Linked DNA regions of Struthio camelus. The main gene of each other region encodes a partner of the protein of the gene in region 2 in a complex. Links are inferred from orthologs where the notes say so. Each region holds a gene or a part of one and is shown on either strand. Other genes may lie near its edges. The genes, in order: LEP and LEPR.

Region 1 (8,085 bases), on a different chromosome or scaffold from region 2:
CGGGGCGCTAGCAGCTCTGGAGGCCGTCGAGGCGGCGGGCGATGCCGTCGAGGCAGGCGCGGAGACGGGCCAGGGCCAGCCCGGCGGCGCTGTAGGGCGAGACGGCCAGCAGATCGGCGAGGTTGGCCGGGCCGGCGGCGGCGGCGGTGGCGGCGAGGGGCAGGGTGCAGCCCAGGTGGGCGGCCAGGGCGGCCAGGAGGCTGCGCAGGTTCTCCATGTCGTTGGCGATCTGCGCCAGCGGCACGCTGCCCGCCGGCAGGCCGGCCAGCACCCGCTGGAAGCCCTGCAGCCGCTGGTCCATGGCGGCCAGGCCCTCGGGCGCCCGCTCGCCGGGGATGAACTCCAGCCCGCTGATCTTCAGGTTCAGGGGGAAGAGCTGCACCGGCGGGCTGCGGTCAGGGCACGGCACCCGCTCCCTGCCCGGGGTGCAGGGCCATCCCGGCGCCCAGCCCCAGCCCGGGGTGCACGTCCCTGCCTGGGGACCTCTGGGCTGCAGGGACATCCCGGCACACCCCAGCCCCAGCCCCAGCCCGGGGTGCACGTCCCTGCCTGGGGACCTCTGGGCTGCAGGGACATCCCGGCACACCCCAGCCCCAGCTCCATCCCAGGGTGCACGTCCCTCCCTGGGGACCTTTGGGCTGCAGGGACACCCTGGCACCCAGCCCCAGCCCGGGGTGCATGTCCCTCCCTGGGGACCTCTGGGCTGCAGGGACACCTCAGTACCCCCCAGCCTGGGATGGGTGTCCCTCCCTGGGGACCACTCTGGGCTGCAGGGACACCCTAGCACACCCCAGCCCGGGGTGCAGGTCCCTCCCTGGGGACCCCTGGGCTGCAGGGACACCCTGGCACACTTGAGCCTGGGGTGGGTGTCCCTCTCTAGGAACCCCTGGGCCAAAGGACCACCCCGTCATACCCCATCCCAGGGTGCATGTCCCTCCCTGCGGACCCTTCAGGAGCACAGGGCCCCCTGTCACAGCCCAGCCCAGGCCCGCGATGTCTGCCCCTTCCCAGGGAGCCGGGGCCCCTCCGGAGCGCTTTGGCACCCCTGCTCCGCTGCAGGCGAGTGTCCCCCCTGCTGACACCCAGGATGCCTCTGAGCCCCGAGCTGTCCCCGTCCCTGCTGGGACCCAGCGGCTCCATGGCGGGGACGTCAGGGCGGGGGTGACCGCCAGGGTCCCTACCACCGCCCGCTGCCCCGTCGTCCTGCGGCCCTTGCCTGCAGCTCCTGGATGCGGGCGATGAGGGTCCGGGTGAGGTTCTTGGTGTCTGCCTTGACCTTGTCGATCTTCACGGGGCGGCCGCAGGAGAGCGGGAGCCACATCCAGAGCAGCCCGCAGAGCGACACGCCGGGCCACCGCATCCTGCTGGGCTCTGCCGGGCGAGACGCGCCGAGGCGCTCGGGCACTCGCCGGGCGCAAGTGCCACCCCACGGCGCCCCTGGGGAGGGGACCGGGGCGCCGGGCTGCTGCGGCACGCAGGCACCGTCTTGGTGCTGACCCCGTCCCTCCCTGGGGGCTACGTATCCTCCCTGTCCCCCCGTCCAAGGGGACGTGGGACACAAAACACCCAGGTTCTTGCAACAAGGCATCACAAAACGGAGAGTGTCACTGCACCTTGCCCCCCATCCCGGGTGCACAGGGAGGAAGAGGGTGACATGAGGCGCCCGGGGAGACATGGTGTCAGCGGTGTCCCCGTCCCCTGCCGGCACGTGCCAGGGTGGCCGTGCCGGGAGCCTTCCCGGAGCTGCCCTTTCGCAAGCTCGGCCCAAAGTCCCCAGGGCCTGGGCTGTGCCCAGCCGCGACCGCGCGGGGCTGGCGCTGGGCCCTGGGCATCCAGCCCCGTGTGCCGGCGGCGGCAGGTGACGATGCTCCCTCCCTCCCCGCGCTGCTGGGGACCCCCCCGTGTGTGTCCCAGCCGTGGCCTGAGCCCCGCTCCCCCCGCAGCCGGTCACCCCGGAGCAGGGGAGCTGCCCCCCTGTAGCACCGTCCCGGCGGGCCAGGTGATGGGAGAGGCCGAGGTGCAGCAGGATGAGGCCCTGCCTGCACCCTCCATGCTCGCCGGCAGACGCAGGGGCGAAAGGGCCTGGCGGTGGGTACTCACCGGACACTCGCACCAGCTGGGAGAGCCTGAAAGGAGAGAGACCCCCCCCCCGTGACCACTGGGACAGGGGACCTCCCCCACCACCAGGGTGAGTTGGGGTCTGGGCAGGACCCCCCAGCATCGCCGCCCCACTCGGAGCAGGGCGAGCAACCCCCCGCCAGCTGCTGCTGCTGTGCACCCAGGGTGCGCGGCCTGGCCGGGGGCAGAGGGTGCAGGGCCACCCCCAGGAAGGTGCTGCTGTCCCCCCCCACCGGCTCCTCGGGGAGCCGCGTGGGTGCTGCAGCCCGGGATGCTCAGCCGCTGTCCGAGCAGGCACTGACCTCCCCGCGCCGGCGGGGAGACCCCTGCAGAGGCGAGGGAGCAGCGCGCATCCGGGATTTCCCAACCCGCTGGCACGGCGTGCATCCTCGCAGCCTCCAGGCGGGCACCACCGAGGCTCGGCCTCGAGCCGGCGGGAGCTGCCCCAGCGCCCCGCTCGGGCTCAGCCGGCCGGCTGCCGGGCTGCAGACACCGCAGGCCGGGGGGTGCCGGCCAGGCGGGCACCGCGGCGGGGGCCGCGGAGAGGCGGCTGCGGGCTCTGGGGTGCGTGGGGAGCTCCTCAGCGCTCCCCGGAGATCCCGCCGGCTCCTTCCCCGACACGCTGAGCGGGTCCGGCCGGGAGCAGAGGTGAGGCCCAGGGAGCCGGCTCGGGGCCGCAGGCCGGCCGACGCACCGTGCCCGGTCCGTGGGACGTGGGGCAGGCTAGCCAGCTTCAGCCACCCAGGAGGGAGAGGTGGGGGGGGGGGTCTGGGGTCCGGATTCCCCCCTTCCTGGGTCTCCGTCGCCCCCCAGCCAGGCCCCGGCCAGCCTCCCTGGGGTCACTGCAGCGGAGCTGGCGTCCCCGGCTGCTGCACCCTCGGCCAGAGCTGGACCCCAGCGTGTTGCAGGGCTCCGCCAGCGCTGCACCCCGGGGGGTGGGGGGGGGCCTGGGGGCAGGGCGCAGCCGGCCCCACCGGCAGCCCGGGCAGGGGCGCCCAGGAGAGGGGGGTCGCGGGGCCCGGCCGGGGAGAGGGTCCGGCTGCCGCCCGGCTTACCTGGGGGCCGCCCCGTCCGGTGCCGTCCCGTCGCGGCCGGTGGCTCCATGTCCCGCGGCCCCTCCTATATAGGGCAGCGGGGCCGTTGCACAACGGGCGCTGCCCGCCCCCGCCCGGCGCTGCCCGCCCGCCCCGACGGCCCCGGCCCCGGCCCGGGGGCTGCCCGGCCCGGCAACCCCGCTCCGCCCTGCTCCACCGACCCCCCAGGGGCTGTCGGGGAGCCCGGGAGCACGGGGGGGGTCTCGGGACACGCGGGGGGGGTCCCGGGACATACCGAGCACGGGGGGGTGCCGGAACACGCGGGGCACGGGGGGGTCCCGGGACATACCCGGCACGGGGAGATGCGGGGACAAATGGGGCACGGGGAGATGCGGGGACACAGGGGGCATGGGGGGATCCCGGGAAATACGGATCACGAGAGTATACAGGGACACACGGGGCACGAGGGGAACCCGGGACACGCGGGGCACGGGGGGATGTGGGGACACTCGGAGCACGGGGGTGTTCCCGGGACACGCGGGGCACGGGGGGATGTGGGGAAATACGGAGCATGGGGGTATACGGGGACACACGGCGCGCTGGCAGATGCGGTGACATCCGGGGCACGGGGGGATCCCGGGACACACGGGGCACGGAGGGGTGTGGGGACACCCGGGGCATAGGGGGATGTAGGGACACGTGGGGCTCGGGGGGATGCGGGTACACACAGAGCTCGGGGGGATGAGGGGACACACGGAGCACCGGGGGATCCCGGGACGCACCGAGCACGGGGGGATGTGGGGACACAGGGGCAAGGGCGGATGTGGGGACACACGGGGCATGGAGGGGATGCGGGAACACATGGAGCACAGGGGATCCCGGGACACACGGGGCATGGGGGGACGCAGGGACACGTGGGGCATGAGGGTATGTGGGGACGAACGGGGCTTGGGGGGATGTGGGGACACACGGAGCACGGGGGGATCCCGGGACACACGGATCACGGGGGGATCCTGGGACACACGGATCATGAGGGGATACAGGGACACATGGGGCACGGGGGGATCCCAGTACACACAGATCACGGGTGGATGCACGGGGGGATCCCGGAGGGATCCCGGTACACATGGGGCATGGGGGGATCCCGGGGACACATGGGGTGGGGGGGGGATCCCAGGACACATGGGGCACGGGGAGATGCGGGGACACACGGAGCATGGGGGGATGTGGGGACACACGGATCACGGGGGGATGTGGGGACACACAGAGCACAGTGGGGGGGATGCAGGGACACATGGGGCACGGGGGGGATCCCAGGACACTCGGACCATGGGGGTATGCGGGGACAAACTGGGCTCAGGGGGATTCAGGGACACACTGGGCATGGGGGGACGTGGACACAGGGGGATGTGGGGACACACGGAGCTCAGGGGGCGATGCCGGGGACACGGGGGGAAGAGGGGACACAGGGAGCATGGGGGGATGCTAGGATACACAAGGCACCGAGGGGATCCCAGGGCACACAGGGCACGAGGGGATACGGGGACACACGGAGCACAGTGGGTCCCGGGACACGCAGAGCAGAGAGGGATACAGGGACACACGGGGCATGGGGGGGATGCCGGAGACACACAGGGCACGGGCGGATGTGGGGACACACAGAGCACGAGGGGTCACAGGGACACACGGATCACGGGGGGATGCGGGGACACATGGGTCACGGGGGGATCCTAGGGCACACAGATCGCTGGGGGATGCGGGGACACGTGAAGCACAGTGGGGTCCCGGGACACATAGAGGAGAGAGGGATACAGGGACACATGGATCATGGGGGGATGTGGGGACACATGGAGCACGGGGACATCCCAGGGTACACGGATCATGGGGGGATGTGGGGACACACGGAGCACAGTGGGGTCCCAGGACACACGGAGGAGAGAGGGATACAGGGACACACGGAGCACAGGGGATGCCGGTGTCTGTGCGGGAGCGCATCCCACAGCCGGGAGCCGGGAGCTGGGAGCCGGGAGCCGGGAGCCGGGAGCCCGCAGCACAGTCCTGGGTGGCACCGACCCACGGGCCTGAATCCGCTGAGCTGTCCGTGCCCAGGTGCCTGCCCCACACCCGCACCCTGCCACCCTCCCCCGGGGAAAGACGTGCGTGGGTCCTGGACCCCCCCCCCCGCCACCCTCTGTGTGCGCGGTGACACATCCGCACCGCCGGCGCATGCACACAGGCACCCACCGGGGCTGCAGTGTCCCCCAGAGCACAGTACGGCCCTGCCCAGCGCCCTTGGGGGGGGGGGGTCTCTCCCCCTGACCTGCCCGGGGGGGGGGCTTGCCCCCCTGTTCAATCTGATCTGCTCCGTATGGAGACAGGGGGCAGGACAGGAGGGGCACCCCCCACCCGGGATGGACACTGCTGCCAGCCTCGGGCATCCTGAGCTTCCGGGGCTCACCTGCGGCCCTTGGGCCAGGAGGAGGTGGGATGGGAGCCCCCCTGATCCCGCCTGCCCCCCAACCCCCCTGGCCCCCCATAGGCAGCAGCCCCGGCCCAGGACTCACAGGTGCATGGCGTGGGTAGGGTGAACACGGGGCGCGCACCGGTGCTGCTGGGGTGCACACGCATGCATGCACGCACACACACGTGTGCAGGCAGGTGTGCACGCGCACGGGGATGCACCATGTGTGCAGACACCCGGACACGCCAGGTGGGTGCATGCACCCTTCGTTGGTGCAGCCGGGAGACCTGGCTATGCGCCCGGTTGTGCGCACACACGTATGCAGCTCTGGGTGCGGGGTGTGCACATGAACACTGTCACACGACAGGGCTCCCTCCGGCTCAGTGTGGTGGTGTCCCACCACGGATGGGTCACCTGGGGCTCTGGTGAAGGCAGGACACGGGACCTCACAGGATGTCAGCCGGGGAGGTGGTGTCATCAGGCTGGTGAATAGCGCACTCGGTGGCATACACACAGCAGGGCATGCACACACCTGGGCAAACACACACCAAGGTGCGCACACACACACACACACACCCCTGGGCACGTGCACCCTTGGGCACACATGCTTCTGGGCATGCGCACACCTGGGCAAGCGCACACCTAGGAACAGGTGCACACACAGACACACGCGCGTGCACACCCCCACCCCACCCCCGGCTGGGTGCATGCACACCTGGACGTGCACACACCTGGGCACACGCCCGCCGCGGCACTCACCGGAGCCCGTGCACCCGCGCTGCTGGGGAAAGCGGGCGCCTGGGGACGCTGCTGGGGCAAGGCGCCGGGGCTGGCCCACGCCGGGCTGGCTGCTGCTCCCCGCGCCCCGTGCCGCGGGGCTGGCCGAGGCCTCTCCGGAGCCGCTCCGGTGCCTCCCCGGCGCTGGGAGCATCCCGGGGCTCTCCGTCCCCGCATTCACCCTGGCTGCTCTGGAGGAGCCGGGGCCACCAAGGACGCAGGGTGCCGGTCCCTCCCCGGCCGAGCCCCCCATCCCGCAGCAGCTGGGCCCACGGCAGCAGCTCTGCTCGTGCGCAGGGAAGATGCTGCAGTCTCGCAGGGCTGTGCCTGGCTCCGGCCACCGCCACGACCTCCGTGTGCCTCCCGCGGGTCCTGCGCAAACCCTGGCTCCAGCCCGGGGTGGCAGGGGGTCACGGGGGAGCCCAGCGGCCCGTCCCCTCCAGGCGCGCCGGAGCCGGGATGGAAATGTGTCCCACTGGAGATGGCCGGTGCAGCTCCCCTGGGATCCAGGCTCAGCATCGCTGACCCGGGCGAAGAGCTCCTGGCTGTCACCCCAGCGTGGCTGGTGGGACCCTGAGGCTGGTGCCACCACCTTGGGGGCCCTGCGGTGCCGGACCTCTCACGTCCCCTCTCCGCAGGGGCAGCTCCTGGCCGCGCACCCCTGGCGCACCATCTACTCATGGGCTATGTGAGCCCAGCAAGCCAGCTGGGCACCAGGGCAGGATGCTCAGCACCTTCCCGCCCCGCGGTTCCTACCCCAGCGCTGCCGGCAGCGCGGTCTGCCGGACCTAGCTGGCCCTTTGGACGGCACGGCGTCCGTGCAGTGGACAACGCGGCTCCGCGGCCGGGGGGCGGCTGCCGAGGAGCGGGCAGGGGCACCCCGAGCCCTCCGGTAGCTGGCTCCGGGGCAGCCCGGCCGCGGGCGGAAGCGGCGGGGTTTGCTCCTGCTCCGCAGCCGCCCGGCCTTGCAACGCGCTCGCCCGGCTGCGGGGTTGGCGTCGTGGGCGCCGCTGGGAGGAGCGGGCAGTCCGGGCTCCCCAAGCCCCTCTGCATCACCAAGCCTCCCCGAGGTGGGACCGTGTTGGGGGAAAAGGGGGTCCCGGGGTGGGTTTTTGGGGGGGGCACCACCTAGGGCTATGCTCCCCGGCAGCCCGGCGGAGGGGGGGCCCCTCGGGGCAGGGGCCGGGGCTCCCCGGGCTGGAAGCGGCCGGAGGAGCGGGGAGCCGAGCCAAGAGCCCGTAAATGCTCCTCGCTCCTCCTCATCCTTCGGGAAGGCGCCGGGCGCTTCTCTTTATTTTTTTGCTGTTATTTTTGGTCCAGAAAAGGCCCGGTTGATTCATGGGTTTTACGGGATTTCTTGCGCCCCGTTGCAGGGACTGACGAAAGCCGGCGTGAGCTCAGCGGCCCCGGGGGAGCCCCCGCGGCCAGCCCGGATTAGCACCGGCCCTGCGCATTCCTGCGGTGGCGGGGCAGCTGCGGCAAGGGGCTGCCGCCGTGACCCGGCCTGACACCACTGCCGAGGGCCACGTCCCGCCGGCCCCCGCCGGTGCCCTCCGGCGCGGAGCAGCCAGGCTCGGGGGCTCCGCCAGGACCCTGAGAGTTTCCAAACCGGCTGGAAAACGCAAGAATTTGCCCAAAGGCGACCCCGGATGAGCAGCCGGGCGCAGCAGGCTGGAGGCCGGGCGGCTGCAGCCC
Region 2 (8,253 bases):
TGTTAGAGAGAACTAGCTACAGAAAACTCCCAGGATGACTGGAATGTATTCCTGGACTGGATAGGAACACTGAATATCTTTTCTAGTGAAAACACTGAACTTAGAAAGAGGTTAGTTAGGACTTCTAACAAGAAAATACAAGTTTTATAGGAACAATTGCAGGGAACTGGAAGATCAGTACAGAAGTATTATAAAAGCTTTTAAATACAGCTCTGTCCTGGAGCAAGTAAGCTAGCAACACAGCAAGGAGCAACAGTTGTTGCATGCATGGTTGGGATGATATCTATACACATGGAAGGGATCTGCCTTAAGATACTGCAATCTGGAACCACTAGCTGTTCTGCTGCTGCATACAAGAAGTTTTCCAATTTTGTAAGTTAATAGCGTGTTCCTCTGTGTTAAACGCTGAACAAATGCAGTAAGGAGAATCCCTGTCTCAACAAAAACATCCAATTAAATTCAAAACAGCAAACATGACAAGCAAGAAGGGTAATGAAATTAAGATCATTTTTTACAGGCAAGCTGAGAAGTTGTACAATTCATTGGCATATCAGCATGGGAAACATTTTCAGCATAGCCTGAAATGAAACTGGCTGGCGACCCACAAACACCTGCTGACCGGGCTCAGAAAAACATAACAAAATGTTTCCTTTTTCTCCTGGAGCTGCCCCCTCCCAGTTCCTTGCCTTGACAACTTACACTTTTGCATGTCTCACCTCTGAATTACAAAAGATAAGCTTAACGTGAGAAGAGGATTGTAATACAAGACAGAATATTAGTAAACAGAGGGTGGCACTCATGACTAAGAGTGCTGAGTCCCTACAACCTTTCCTGGACACAGCTGAGTGGTGTAATCCTGACACCACTGAACTCAGCTGTAAAATTCTCATTGCCTTTTACAGGGACAGAGGGACTAGCAAGTGGTTTGCCAATAAGCAAATACTCCAAAATCATATTTTTCCCTGAATTTCAGAAGCTACGGAAACTTACAGAAATTCAATTATTGGAATCTCGTATTTTTCCTCAAACAACATACCCTACGCACATACAAGCTTTGGAAGTGAGGATTTTTTTTTTCTTTTTTTCTTATTCCCACTCTCCTAAAAAAACAACAACAGCTGCTAGTTAATGGGAAATGGGAACATAATACTGTAAGCATACAAACTGTCCCTGAGTTTTGAAAGCACTCTGCTACAGCTGTTTTTAAATATTTAAAAGATCTCTATAAAGCATAAAATATTCTAGTAATAATGCCTACGCACAACGTCTTCTGGCTTGATCTTTAAGGGTGCTGAGGACTTCCCACTCCTGTTGGTTTTGGCAAGAGCAATGGTTCTTAGTCAGCCCTCCTGGGCACAGAAATTCACTGCATTTGTTTGTCATTCAGTATATGAGTAAACATTACAAATAAAGAGTTCAGAGTAAATGAAACATGGAAAATAGCAATGGAAGTGGAATTTGTACTGAATATTTTTCACTTTCAAATACCACCAAAGCTTTAACCAAGGCAACCTAAGTTGCACATCACCCCACACACTGAGAAGAATGAAATCAGCAGCAGAGCTACCCTTGTCCCACCAGTACACACTGATTTTTAGAAAGAGAAAGCACGGCTACAAAAACAGCCTCTAAGTCCGCCTGTGCAGCCTCTCTTCCAAAACACCAGAGTAAATGCCCCGAGACTAGAGCCAATTTTTGCCTTGTCTGTACTGAGGCTAACCCCTCACTCAGCAAACATCCACAGCGCTCAGAGAGTTCCTCTGCCACCCCATGCCAGAGACCCAGGAACGGGTGCCAGCAGCAGAAGAGCTGCATTTCCCCCCCCCCCATACTTCCAGAAAACACTACCAAATGCAGTATCTAAGTCTGTGCACACTCATGACATGCATTCAATTTAAGAGACTTAAATTCCACAAATATTGATGATTTTAAGCAAGGGATAGAGAAAAGCATTTGTTAACAAACACTGGTCCTGCACTCCTCACGGATGAGCATACATCGGTTCTTCCTTACACGCAGGTGCAAGCGCAGCTCCTGTAATTATCTGGCATTTAAAACTCCTTCAGATTATAGCTGCATGTGGTAGTTGAGGGCTCTCAGTGTTTTCATTGTAAACTCTATTTATAAGTGTCCGTGTCAATAATTGGCAGATAAAATTTCCAAAGCGCTTTCCTGTCAGGATGGACTATATACTACAGCGCCACTCACTCACCCAGCAGCCCGTCCTCCGCTGCACCTTCACACAGACGTCTTTTTTTCCTTCAAACACTAACACCTCAAAAGAAGAAAAAAATTAATTAAAAAAAAAAAAAAAGCCCAACGGTGAGGGGCTTATATACATCGTGTCAGCCTCCCAGCTGGCCTCGTCCCTTAGAAAGCTGCTCTCTTCAGAAAAAAAAAAAAAAACCCGCACTCGCAGAGGAGCTGCGTTTTGCTCACCACACGTCTCTCAGCAAAAACGACGTCGTTTGCACCGCACGCCACCTTCGAGCTCCCCTCCCGCTTACGCCGTCAGCACGAAGCTGGACGGATGGCCCCCAGGGACGGCACTGGGGGCCAGGACGGGACGAGGCTGGCGGCCGGAGGAGGTCGTCGTTTCCCGCGCCCCGTTCCTCTCACGGAGAGGCGACGCGAGCGGCCCCTTTCGCCCCGGCTGCGGCAGCTAAAAAAACCTCGGCCGGCGAACCACCACGACGCCCGCAAAAAAAAAAAAAACCCTCCCCCGGCCGCTGGAGCGCCCCTCACGAACCGGGGCGGCGGCGCCCCGGGCGCCTAGTCCCTCAGAGCCCTCCCGCCCCGCGGGCTCCCTCCCTCCCCGCCCGGCCGCGAGGGGCCAGCGCCGCCACCGGCCGCGGGACAGAAGCCGAAATAAACAAGCGGGTACAGACACAGACCTACTCCGCCGCGTTTCCAGAGCCTCAGCCGAAGTTACGCCGAAACTAGCTTTTTTTTTTTTTTTTTTTCCCTGTTGTTTTCTCCTCCTTTCTTTCGGCAGCTCCTGCGATCGCTTTGGCGCCCGGCGCCGCGACGCGCACAGACGAGGGTCGCCGCCGCCGCCGCCCCGCTCTTCCCGCCCTCGCGGCCGCCCCGCCCCAACGGCCGCCGCCCCGCCCCAACGGCCGCGCACGGGGAAACCTCGAGCGTTCAGGACGTTGCCTCAGGACTTGGGGCCAAGGAGGAACCGAGCGTGAACGTTCGCGTAGTTTTTCCTGCTATATTAATAGCTTAGCGCTTTGTGATTAACAGGGAAGGAAATTCAATGACATTTCTTACCCCCCTCCCCCCCCTTTTTTTTTTGAACGCAGAGTGGGTCTGTTTTACCTAAATAGAGACGCTTCTGGGAACAGTCAGCCCGGTCTGAATCCATAGACACATTCATCAAGAATTAATGTTCTCCTGAAGTATTTCGGGTTAGTGGTTTTAACAGCGTAGGCTGCACAAAACATCCGATTACGAACGTAAAAGGTGACACGAAGTACCAGGGGCTCTTTCTGGCTGCTTGCGCCTACTCGTCGCGTTTGCCAAGGATCTCTGAGGTTTCACAAAATGCTAAACCTAAAGGTGGTGAGTTATTATTCCTAACGCAAACGTGCCCACTTCTCCGTAGAAGGACAAATAACTATTTAACGTTTTAAAAGATCTGATTTGGATGCATTTAATTCTGGTAAACAGCACGTTACTCTTTAAGCAGCGCTATCCCATTCAATTTGGGCTGCTTGTTCAATTATATACTAGAAAATGAGTAAAGGTATAGAATATGATCCGGAAAATCCCATTTTTTTAATTCGTGAAAATGTTTGTATTAACGGCCTGCCAGAGACTTCCAAGGTGCATAAAGTATATGGGCAGACATTAACGCGTTGTTATGCATAACTATTTTAGTCCAGAAGTGTGAGCCACTTGGTGCTCACCAGTCGTAGAAGAGTTCGGTTTTGATCAAGAAACGTAATTTTTCAATCTCAAGTAACACAAGTATAGGAGTCCTACAAAACAACCAACTTTAGACTATCATTTTAAAAGAGCTGTTACTTATATCTCGATTTTATTTTAAAAACTTATTTGCCCAAGATGATAGCATGTAACATTGGGCAAAATCCTAAGTTTTTGCCATCATCTGCAATGCAGCGATGATTTAACCTGCAGTATTATAGGTCATCTCTGAGTCTGTATTTGGATTGATTTTTAAACGGTAATTTGTCCTAAGATTGTTTAAGGACAAAAAAATCAGAGCTTTATTTTAAAATTAACTCACTAGCCTGCGTATTTTGATTTTTTTTAGACATTAAAAACCACAATAGCTTACTCTTTATCTTAGTTTTAAGTTGTATTGGCTATATGTACAAAATTTTATATATAGTTCTAAGTAAGCAATACAGACATGATTCTAAAGAGACTTTTTTAATACGTACAGATCATACTAAGGAGGTTACCCATTCTCATGCTTTTACAAAGCCAATCTGTATGGAAAGGCGTAGTGCTTTTAACATATAGGATGCTATGTAGAGAAGTCTGCTCCTCTTTTCGTGTAACGAATAAAGGGTTCATGACTGATTTACCAACCCAATCACTCATGTGCATTTGCACATACAAAACTTGAATCATTACTTTTGCATGCACGAGGATGAAACTTCCGGAAGGAGACGATCCTTGATATCTAAATCCTGCCAGGCTCCACCCGTCTCTATAAGCAGCCCCATTCACTTCACTTGAAACGCTGTATGGGCATAAGGTACCGACTAGCATCCATTATTCTGGGAAAATATTCCTGGGAAATTCCCATATTCCTGGGAAATAGGCTCTAGAGGACCCTGCTTGAGCAGGGAGGTTGGACTAGATGATCTCCAGAGGCCCCTTCCAAGCTCATCCCTTCCGTGATTCTGTGATTCAAGAAGGATTCACTCTCCTGAAATAGAATTTCTCAGTAAACTCATATTATATGTGATTTACTTTCTTTTTAGAATTATGATCTTAAGCAATGGAGAGGTTTCCTCAAAGCACCTAGATTTCCAGCTAGAATTCATTTCTGCATCACAAAAAATGTCAAAAATCATTCATTTAAAAAAAAAAAAAAAAAAGCTTGGCTTGTAACTCAGTTAATGAAACATTCATTTCAAAAGCATAGATAATTATTTCCTATTAATTAAAAAAAATTACACATTTCTACACAAAAATCTGGATGCAGAGAGACTATTTCCATCTCTGCCTCTATAACTAATGATGTGTTTTAATACTGACTGTATGGATTGTTGTCACAAAAATTATTTTTTTTACATAAATATCCTGAACCACATTGGAGAAATTAACAGTGAAAATTAGTAAGTAAAACTAAATTTAAAACCTGACCTTAAATTATTAAAAAGAGTTTTTCAAGTATTAAATTTGTGAAGACTAGGTTTGAAGTTAGAAAGGTGAAAAACGTCCCCAGGTTATACAAAATGGTTCTAAAATGAATGATGAATACACTGTAGCAATCTATATTTTTCCAAAATGATTTATCATATATATTTAAAAGCTACCTTCACATGAAAGTCAGAACTCCAATCACTATCTGAAGATAAAAGATAACCGCTTCTATGTTTATTTTTTCTTCTAACACACAGCTATATGCCCAGTTACGCATATGAACCTCTAGTTTGTATTAAGTCCATAGTGGAACATTCACCCAGAGTATTTTGTCTCTAACAGTCCATGCCAGATGTCACTGAAGATACGGCAAGAGACCCAGCTGAAGGAGACTTGGAAAAAATATTAAAACAAACAGCAAAAGTCGAGATTAGATTGCAGATTAGAGATAACCCCCTTAATACAACCAGCAAAAATAGAGATTGGATTAGAGATTTGTTATAAAACCATATTAAATAATTTCCTCAGTTAAGATAGCAATGTTGACCATAGGGTTAGAAGCAGGATTAATAAGAGGTTAAGGAAACTAAAATTACTATAGCCACAGTAGGGAGAACGCTGAAAGGGTTTAAAGCATGAAGATGGAGTTATGAAAGAACTAGCACGTGAAAGGGAAGCCGCAGGCACAGGTATTTTTACTAAATCTGTTAAGTAGTAGTACAATAAGAGAAAGAACAAATATATAAAGCCTCTGTAAGAGGAGGGCGTGATGAAATCTGTTTTTGAAAACATCCACGACTTAAGAACAGATTTGGGGGGAGCAGAGGGAAAGACCTGACGCGTAAACCCCAGGGAGAGGAAGGAACTGCAAACTGTTCCAAGCAACGGACAACACTGGCACAAAATCAGATGGGTATAACCCTGCCACAAATACATTTGGGCTGGTTATTTAAATCTGAGTCTTGGCCAGTAGAAGAATATGCACTTCTGGAACAGCCTTCTAATGGAAATAACAGGGTGAGAGGAACAAAAAAAATCAGTTTAAGTGAGTGTTTAATAAATTGTGAAAAGAATTATTACACAGTTTGGTGTCCCCAATAAAACAGAACTGGATTATATAATTTGGATGGGCTCTTGTAGGCCCAAGCTTCTTTGCTACCAGTGTGCCTCCCTTAAGGCTTAAACTAGCCATTTCACCCACTTTTCAAACCACTCACTACCGCTCCCCTTTCCACACAAGCGTATTTAAATTCTTATCCCACCTTACAGTCAATTACGACTTGCCCTCTCTTGGCTCATCTGTACCCTTCAGCACGTTGGTCCCCGAAGCAAAGCTCTGCTTTACCTCCCACTTCCACCGTTGTTTCCAAGGCTTCCGTGGCATCCCCACATATGGATTATCTTTTCTTAACAAAGTCCATTCACTCAAATCTCTCTTAAAGACCTGGTTCTGCTATGATGTATGTATCCATTGCCTGCTGGCTCATCTTTTAAGAGTATTGGATATTTGGGGATATTAAAATCACATTTTGACTGTTTTACACTTTAGTGTTTGCCCTCGTGAATAAAGAGCTCTTTGAGAAAAGCGCTGATGCATATGTAAAACAATACCACGTATTTGACAGGAACTGCCAGTAAAAAAACAAACCCAGGAGTTATGTCAAGGGATTTAAATTGAGGACTGAGCACAACTAGAAAAGTTGTGCTTGGATGCCAGAGGATCTAGAGGTTTTATTCTTGCTTGTGCTCATGCTTTTTCTTGGAAAATGCAGCAAGTGTTCAGAACCAAGGTAACACACTGGTAAGTCCCAGATAGGTGCAAGAGAGGTTTTTTATGGCATGTTTTTTTCCTTTTCAGCAATACTATTTGCAAACAAATGCAAAAATAATTTCTGCCTCATAAGATATAAAGAACAGTATTTTTGTTCACCTACTACAAGTTCTTCTCAGCAAACAGGCTCGAACATGTTCTCACACTATCTATTGGACCTACTGACTGGCTTTAATTTGTTCATTGACTTTCCATAATTCATGATCCACTTCCTCCGAATAGCATTAGCCAATTTCTCTCCTCATTAAAATAACCACCATCTCTAATTGAATATAAATTATATTTTGAGACTATTTCTGAATTCTAGTAAGACAATTTGGGAAATTTGGTCTACATACAATTCCCGTCTGAGGTTAGGCAGCTGCTGATGTTTTTTGCATCTTGGACTTTCTTAACATAAGCAAAAACCATCACAAGCTATCTAGTCTGTCATGTTCCTGTTAGGCCACATTCAAAGAGGAACCACTAGAAAATAATTTTCTATTCAGAGTAAAAGGTCTCAAGACAAAGGTCTGACTGAAGCTCAAGGAACAAGTTTTCTTCCACTTCCCTGCACAGCATTGGAGGTCCCTAAAAGGAAAAAATTCCCTATGTAATCTACACCAGTGCATAATTATCTATTTAAAGGGTTTTTTTTTTTCTTAGTATCTAAACTAAATCTTCTTTCCTGCAGTTTAACCCTATTTTCATATATTTGGGAGAGACAGAAGACACCTAATTGCCTCCTTTCAAAAGTCCCTTTGTATGCATCAGTTATATTAAGTTACATTGTTGTCTTACACTGGTCTTCCTTTGTGTAAACTGAACCACTCCAGTTCATTCGGTCTTTCTTTATAAATCACCTCTTCTAGAGACCTGATAAGATTTATTGGTGTCCTTTGGACTCATGCCTATTACTCTACGTCTTTCGCAGAGAGCAGTGCCCAAAGTTGGAGCCAGTACTCCAGCTACGTCCCAGAACGATGTTTACTTTTTTTCTCTCCCAGCAGCTTGCCTCTGTTGACTCAGGCTCAGCTTGCACGTTTCTCTAACCCTCAGATCCTTCCTCGGTAACTTTTGTTTGCGCAGTTGATTACTTA

The links.
Region 1: the proteins of LEPR (region 2) and LEP are in contact, whole or in part, in a crystal structure (PDB 7Z3R), measured with the Mus musculus proteins. The link is inferred for Struthio camelus from reciprocal best matches to the Homo sapiens genes LEPR and LEP. Residues at the interface, in NP_666258.2 of Mus musculus: Tyr439, Leu440, Thr441, Arg466, Ser468, Leu469, Tyr470, Gln499, Pro500, Ile501, Phe502, Leu503, Leu504, Ser505, Val560, Phe561, Glu563, Asn564; in NP_032519.1 of Mus musculus: Lys26, Val27, Asp30, Thr33, Leu34, Lys36, Thr37, Thr40, Arg41, Gln92, Gln96, Asn99, Asp100, Glu102, Asn103, Asp106, Leu107, Leu110.

What each region holds. Positions count from the first base shown.
Region 1 is NC_090942.1:1,271,532-1,279,616, reverse strand, and holds LEP (leptin), read right to left. Parts: upstream 3,201-8,085; 5' UTR 3,174-3,200; intron 2,127-3,173; 5' UTR 2,101-2,126; intron 1,372-2,100; 5' UTR 1,361-1,371; coding exon 1,217-1,360; intron 377-1,216; coding exon 8-376; downstream 1-7. UniProt on the Homo sapiens protein: Key player in the regulation of energy balance and body weight control. Once released into the circulation, has central and peripheral effects by binding LEPR, found in many tissues, which results in the activation of several major signaling pathways.
Region 2 is NC_090949.1:36,497,912-36,506,164, reverse strand, and holds the start of LEPR (leptin receptor), read right to left. Parts: upstream 3,022-8,253; 5' UTR 2,895-3,021; intron 2,276-2,894; exon of another isoform or gene 2,269-2,275; 5' UTR 2,213-2,268; intron 1-2,212. UniProt on the Homo sapiens protein: Receptor for hormone LEP/leptin. On ligand binding, mediates LEP central and peripheral effects through the activation of different signaling pathways such as JAK2/STAT3 and MAPK cascade/FOS.